Linked DNA regions of Xenopus tropicalis. The protein of the gene in region 2 interacts with the protein of the main gene of each other region in a pairwise test. Links are inferred from orthologs where the notes say so. Each region holds a gene or a part of one and is shown on either strand. Other genes may lie near its edges. The genes, in order: cyth3 and cnksr1.

Evidence for each region.
Region 1: the proteins of cnksr1 (region 2) and cyth3 interact in binary tests that used the Homo sapiens proteins (3 or more experiments, as listed by UniProt). The two-hybrid records come from large-scale screens. The link is inferred for Xenopus tropicalis from reciprocal best matches to the Homo sapiens genes CNKSR1 and CYTH3.

What each region holds. Positions count from the first base shown.
Region 1 is NC_030685.2:25,420,632-25,424,460, reverse strand, and holds part of cyth3 (cytohesin-3), read right to left. Parts: intron 3,475-3,829; coding exon 3,398-3,474; intron 175-3,397; coding exon 103-174; intron 1-102. UniProt on the Homo sapiens protein: Promotes guanine-nucleotide exchange on ARF1 and ARF6. Promotes the activation of ARF factors through replacement of GDP with GTP. Plays a role in the epithelial polarization.
Region 2 is NC_030678.2:76,996,600-77,000,428, reverse strand, and holds part of cnksr1 (connector enhancer of kinase suppressor of ras 1), read right to left. Parts: intron 3,174-3,829; coding exon 3,100-3,173; intron 516-3,099; coding exon 454-515; intron 351-453; coding exon 230-350; intron 1-229. UniProt on the Homo sapiens protein: May function as an adapter protein or regulator of Ras signaling pathways.

The DNA.
Region 1 (3,829 bases), on a different chromosome or scaffold from region 2:
GGAATAAGTGCCATGTGGTATGAGACACAGTAGAAAGGAGGTCCCTTCCCCCGTAGAGCTTACAATCTAAGTATATATTAATTTAAGAGAAAGAAATCTTACTGGCTTTCGAGGATCTTCAACTTCTCTAATACTAAGGTTTTCCAAAGGAATTATACCTCTTGGTTCTTTATCCTGTTGATCAAAAGATAAAATCTTAATGAGGAGAAACAGAAGGAACGTAGTGCAACTACTTTACTAACCACTAGGGGTAGACAGAGATACAGCAGATGAGATTGTCAAAGGAAAAATCTTCTGAAAAGGAAAAGTGTACAAAAGGAGAAAGTCTCACCGAACCCCCAAAATTATACAGATTAAAAAGCAACATTTTTATTTTATACACATTGTGCAGAGTTAGTGGAACATTTTGAAAGCATATATACCAAAGTAAAAGTCAGATATTTAGGTAGCCCATGGCTGCGGAATGAACCAATACACACAGACAAATCTCTTGTTTAGCAGGCACACAAATGTACCAGATTTAAAGCACAGACAGCTTAGGAACCAGCCAAAAGTGCTTAAAAGATTAACACTTTAACACAAGTATACACCACCTATACATATTAGTAATTCAAGTCTTAAGGTGGCCAGATCCATTCATTTGGTGAGGCTGCCAAACAAGCAGATCTGGGACCAATTTGTTCATCCACATGCTGAGTGGATCATCCATTGGGGTCTGTGTATATATACAAATAACTCAAAAACATTACAAATTTGTAATTAATGTATATTGCAAAGTTACTAAGAATTTGGTTTTCTTTTATTAGGCAAAACATTATATTCTGGGTTGACTTGTCCTTTAAAGGAAAAATAATCCCCCTAGGGCTGGCATTCCAACACTGGACTTGTTGTAAAAGGGATTATGGTAATAATCTCCCACCAGATGCTCATATATAAGAGAAAAAGCCAGGATAAAGATTCCTATACATCATTTAAATATTTGTTATTTATTTATATATGGGGAAATCTGGATATCATTGGCCATATTTCAAAACTGCCTGGTGAGTCTATCCCAGAAAAGATTTGTATCTGTGCAGTATCTGATTCTGTCAGGTCACCACCGAAGGAATGCCTTCTTTTGTGCCATTCCCACCTTTTTTCTTGATTTCTACGTTGCCTTACCCCCCTGAGTTATAATGGAGAGGCATCCATGCCATATGAATCATGGCGTGTCTGTGCTCCAGCTAAAATTAAGGATGGGGGGTGTAGTAGGAAAGGTGGCAAAGAAAAATACAGAGAAAGCAGTCAAGGCATTACCTATATGTGGTGTTACCCTGGGTGTGTCAGCCAAGCCAATATATTACAAAACTGATGAAGCCAATGCCATTATTAAATCACAGGCATCCAGTTGTAAGGAGCCTGATTGGAATGCAGACATGATTGAGTGCATATACACTGGAGGCATCTGTTGCTGTAGCAGGAATCAATAACACCCCCATCAGGCCGGACACAATGACGTTTGTTATAAGACACTAATGAGAATCTTCCATCTATATTCACCCACTGAATATAGATGGGAGATTCTGGGGAAATGTAAAGAGCTCTCTGCAAACAGGCTACTCTTGTGGAATAAAATTAACCACTTTTAATAACCAACAAAGTAAGAACAAAACATGTGAATTACAATTGTATCCTCACCCATTAGATCACTTAATTAAGTCTGAGATTTGGTTTTGTGACCCAGTATAAAATTAACAACAATGGGGACCATTTTTTTGGGTACCACTGAATTACACAGAACAAAGAGAACAATTTTTTTTCTTCCTGGAAGGCTAGGGGTTCTCATTTGTGTAAGCATTAAAGCCAATTCAAAGGCATAATGTCCCCAAAATGAGGCAGAGGTGTTGTAGGTAAACGAAAAAGACAAAGTGCAAAGAGTAAGCCCAAATTTCCATGCAAAATTGCATGTAGTGTAGAACTGTCCAATGTTCCCATCTCTGGTTTTATAACAGAGTTTCCTTGCGAAACTTTTAGCCCTGTTTGATGGCTTCATTACATGAACACACTGCAGAGTATTGGGCAGGTGCTCTGTGTGGCCTTCAGATCTGGGCAGTAAAGGGAGGGGGCTACCAACTGGGCCCATAAATGTTATTACTGACCTTAAAGTTATGATATACACAGAGAGCAATTAATGGCAGTCTATGACATGCAATTTGTCACACAGTTTAAAAGAACAGAGGGTCGGCTTTTGTAAGTTAGGATAGAATTTCAGCACCTGCTTGCTCTGTTGTGAAGAAAGGGGGCTGTGTGTGTGTGGGGGGGGGGGGGGGGGGGGGGGGGGGGCGCTTGCAATATCAATGCTGTATTTTGCCTGTTTTCAAACAAAACCCAAGAATATAATTTCCATGAGTGACCACAATCTGGCTACTGTCCCACAACCCACTAGCAACACTATGCTGCTTCTTTAGATGTCAGATCAAAGTTATATTCCTCCATTTTAGGTGAACAGAACCACATAAGCTTTTATGTTTTTATACTTTTCATGGGGTTTATTTATTTAAGGCTGATCTGGGGAACCCAGAAGCATTATTTTAATTCCAATTGATCAAAACCTTAATGACTGGCAGGAAGAAAAAAAAGATGCATTTATCAATGCTGATGACACGTCAATTAGTCTGCATGCTATGAGAAGCCAATCACATTAGTGTTCCAGGGCCCACCAGTGGTTTACTAGCCGAGGCTGCCCCCACCCCCACCAGACTTGTGCTGCCCTTTATCATACCACTAAGGTGGTACAGACCATCAGTCCTTTTATCTGCTTTAACTTTTGCATGAAGCAAACCCCAGAAAAGGAAGACCCTGTTATTTTAATTTAGCTCTACAACAATCATTTCTGTGTTTTCTGAGGGTAGTACAATCTAAGAGGAGATCTTGCCCTGGCCCTGAGTTCAGCAGCAGCACTGAGACCTAATGCCCAAAGCCCTGGTTAATCCCAATGAAAAATGCATACAGGGATTAATAATCCAGAAAACTATTTTGGGAGCTGGACAAATCATTTCAGCATGGAAAACAGGTACCGCTTCAGTGAAAAGAATATGACCAATGGTTAGTCCCTTAGTCTGTAAAGAAATGGCTGATGAGCCATTTTCTAGCCCCAGAATATAAAATCCATGGTGCTGTCTATCAAGGACCAAACTTCAGTGCTTCAGTTTCTAGGTTCCAATGTACCCTAAGGGAAACTGGGAAGTCTTGCAAGGCATGATGGTGGCTGTCGTAGTGGGCATTAAAATGGTTCAAGGTGTTAAGTAACCTCTGTGAAGTGTACTCCCCCATAGCCAAACTCAAATAATTCTACCCATGTGGCCCTTCGTGCCATTTATTACATGTCTGCTTCACAGGGTTTAACCTTCATACTTACTGTTGTGTATTCAAAATAATAGAGACAGTTATCAGTCAGGATAAACCACCTGCGCTTCCAAGTTTTAACTCTTCCACCTAAAAAACAAAGAGCCATCTCATTAGAACACCTTCAATAATGCAGGCTGGCCATGTACATACACCACTATTTGCACACTATGTACTACAAGGGGGGCCTGAGTTTCTCACAAACAGGCACCTTTCCTTTAATAGTCCTTGTGTGGCTTCTTCTGAACTTTAATTTGGATTTGTTTGTAGTAGCCTGTGTGTCATTTTTTTTGCCAAATATTTGCTTTCCAGCAATCATTAAGCCAGCATATCAAAGGAGAGCCTTTCAGCTACAGAAGTGCAACGCCCGGCATCCTCACTCAGCTGGGTGGGGTTGCACTTTACTGCACTTTTATGGCTATGCCTATCATATGCCAGGGCTCAA
Region 2 (3,829 bases):
TTCGGGAATCGGTCGTTTGTAAGTAAAAAATCGGTCCGTGTATGGCCACCTTTACTTTTAATTTATATTAACCTTTCATTGTCCTTTAAATAGAGCTAATGAGTTTTGTTTAAACAATCTCTCCTTCCCCACCTTTGTGATAAGTAGTCCATTTGAAGGGATTTGTATGTGCTGATAAATTTCAATCTCCCACAGTGCTAAAAAAAAAAAAAAAAACAAAGTTGCTTACTTGCAGGTTGAACATCACTTTCTTTCAGAATTTGCCCACTTTCAGAAGTGTTGCTTTCTTCACTGGTTGTTGGTGAACTTGAGATATTCTGGCTCTGTACATGTGTCAGTGGAGTCTTTACCTGACATACAAAGTTTGAAATTGGAAGGGTGGTATAAAAGTAGAGCTGGGACAATTAGTAGCATGGGTTGAAGATAAAATGAGCAATTGTACTGTTCTCTTACCACCTCCTGTGTTTTTGAGTGATCTTCATCCAGATCTTCAGCCTCAGTTTCACTGTAACAGTCTAAAAAAAAAATATATATATTTTTATAGATATAGATAGATAGATATAGTTGTCGTGCCTATCTCAATAAAGTTCTTTATGGATGACTAAGACCTGTGAGAGCGGTTCCTTCCAGCATTATTTTGTATATTCCATATTCCGGTACTGCACCCAGGCATGATTTTTTGGACTTAAACGTGAGTGCCAGCTTCTTAGATGTATATATATATATATAAGTGTAGGATTGGGGAGCACACCTTCAAAATTCCAATACCTGGGTGCTCGAGCTAGAGGTTTTAGATACATAAAGAAAAATGTCGGCACTCACAGGGTTTCCCTGACGAAAGTCCGTGTATGAAACGTTGGAAAGAATAAACATCACCGTTTGTATTTAAAAGCTGTTTATTTTTTGCCTTTATATGGAAACCCTGTGAGTGCCGACATTTTTCTTTATGTATATATATATACCGTATTTTTCGGACCATAAGACGCACTTTTTTTCCCCCAGAAGTGGGGGGGAAAAGTCCCTGCGTCTTATGGTCCGAATATACTTTAAAAAAATGTTTTTACTTGCCCGTGTGGTCTCCGTGCAGGGCCCTCCTCTATTCACCGGCGCTTAGCTGTGGCTCTGTGCGCATGCACAACGCATGTGCGTCATTGTGCATGCGCACAGCGCCACAGCTAAGCGCCGGTGAATAGAGGAGGGCCCTGCACGGAGACCACACGGGCAAGTAAAAACATTTTTTTAAAGTATATCTGTAGGCTATATGCTGGTACAGATGGGGGCAATATGTTGGGTGCTGCTGGTACAGGTGGGGGGCAATATGTTGGGTGCTGCTGGTACAGGTTCGCTTTTAATGCACATAAAATATTTTAGGACAGTATTTGTTTCAGAATCTTTTTTTCTTCATTTCCCTTCTCTAAAAACTGGTGCGTCTTATGGTCCGGTGCGTCTTATGGTCCGAAAAATACGGTATATAGTGGTGTGAAAAACTATTTGCCCCTTTCCTGATTTCTTATTCTTTTGCATGTTTGTCACATAAAATGTTTCTGATCATCAAACACATTTAACTATTAGTCAAAGATAACACAAGTAAACACAAAATGCAGTTTTTAAATGAGGGTTTTTATTATTTAGGGAGAAAAAAAATCCAAACCCTGTGTGAAAAAGTAATTGAACCTAATAACTGGTTGGGCCACCCTTAGCAGCAATAACTGCAATCAAGCGTTTGCGATAACTTGCAACGAGTCTTTTACAGCGCTCTGGAAGAATTTTGGCCCACTCATCTTTGCAGAATTGTTGTAATTCAGCTTAATTTGAGGGTTTTCTAGCATGAACCGCCTTTTTAAGGTCATGCCACAACATCTCAATAGGATTCAGGTCAGGACTTTGACTAGGCCACTCCAAAGTCTTCATTTTGTTTTTCTTCAGCCATTCAGAGGTGGATTTGCTGGTGTGTTTTGGGTCATTGTCCTGCTGCAGCACCCAAGATCGCTTCAGCTTGAGTTGGCCAGATGGCCAGACATTCTCCTTCAGGATTTTTTGGTAGACAGTAGAATTCATGGTTCCATCTATCACAGCAAGCCTTACAAGTCCTGAAGCAGCAAAACAACCCCAGACCATCACACTACCACCACCATATTTTACTGTTGGTATGATGTTCTTTTTCTGAAATGCTGTGTTACTTTTACGCCAGATGTAACGGGACACGCACCTTCCAAAAAGTTCAACTTTTGTCTCGTCGGTCCACAAGGTATTTTCCCAAAAGTCTTGGCAATCATTGAGATGTTTTTTAGCAAAATTGAGACAAGCCATAATGTTCTTTTTGCTTAAAAGTGGTTTGCGCCTTGGAAATCTGCCATGCAGGCCGTTTATGACCAGTCTCTTTCTTGTGGAGTCGTGAACACTGACCTTAATTAAGGCAAGTGAGGCCTGCAGTTCTTTAGATGTTGTCCTGGGGTCTTTTGTGGCCTCTCGGATGAGTTGTCTCTGCGCCCTTGGGGTAATTTTGGTCGGCCGGCCAATCCTGGGAAGGTTCACCACTGTTCCATGTTTTTGCCATTTGTGGATAATGGCTCTCACTGTGGTTCGCTGGAGTCCCAAAGCTTTAGAAATGGCTTTATAACCTTTACCAGACTGATAGATCTCAATTACTTTTGTTCTCATTTGTTCCTCAATTTCTTTGGATCTTGGCATGATGTCTAGCTTTTGAGGTGCTTTTGGTCTACTTCTCTGTGTCAGGTAGCTCCTATTTAAGTGATTTCTTGATTGAAACAGGTGCCATGTAGATTTGGAGTTTTTTTCTCCCTTAATAACGTAAACCTTCATTTAAAAACTGCATTTTGTGTTCAATTATGTTATCTTTGACTAATAGTTAACGGTTTTTGATGAGCAGAAACATTTAAGTGTGACAAACATGCAAAAGAATAAGAAATCAGGATTAGAAATCAGAAATAGTTTTTCACACCACTGTATATCTAACAACAGCAGCATGAGGCTGCACAAACTAGCCTTTACTAAGAACAGCAATTATGTTTCTCTAACAAGAAATATAAAACCATAGCCATATATACAGATGTCTTTACAATATCAGGACACAAATACCTTCTTCGTGTGCTTGAGTAGCAGAAGATGCTGTTTTATGTATGTTTAGTGCAGCTAGAAGACTGGTCACCCACCTGTAATGAAAAATGAAGAAACTCTGCAAAACCCATAAGGCATCTCCAAGAAATCTCCAAGCCTAGGGCACCTTTGATGTGCTTAACAAAAAATGTTGTGCTACAACTATGTTATTACATTATTGCATACAATATAGCCCAGTATTAATGTAAAGGGTGGCTGGCCATTACAAAGTTGTTTAACTGCTTCCCAAAGGCAGTAATCATAAGCCACTTAAATTACAGATACCCATGCAACCCAAACCTTTTGGGTTCCTCTATCACGACCCACCACCTCATATTCCTCTAGAGCAGTGCTGTCCAACTTCTGTGGTACCGAGGGCCGGAATTTTTCTGGCCTACATGGTGGAGGGCCGATAATGGAAGCCAGTTTTGACCACTCCCCTTTTTTAAACCGCACCCATGTTATCACAAGAGCTTTTAAGACCATCCCCACATTAATGGTGGCAACACAGCAAAAACCCAATGGTTGGTGCTCACTGAAGGGATATTACCCTTCATTCATATGTGAAAGAATTATATTATGTCATATTAAGACATACACTTAAATCCATATGCCTCCTCCTCTTCTGTGGATAGCACAGCAACCACCAGCATATAATTACACACTTTAGGGACCATGTAATGACTATTTCAAACTGCTAACAAACTCCCAG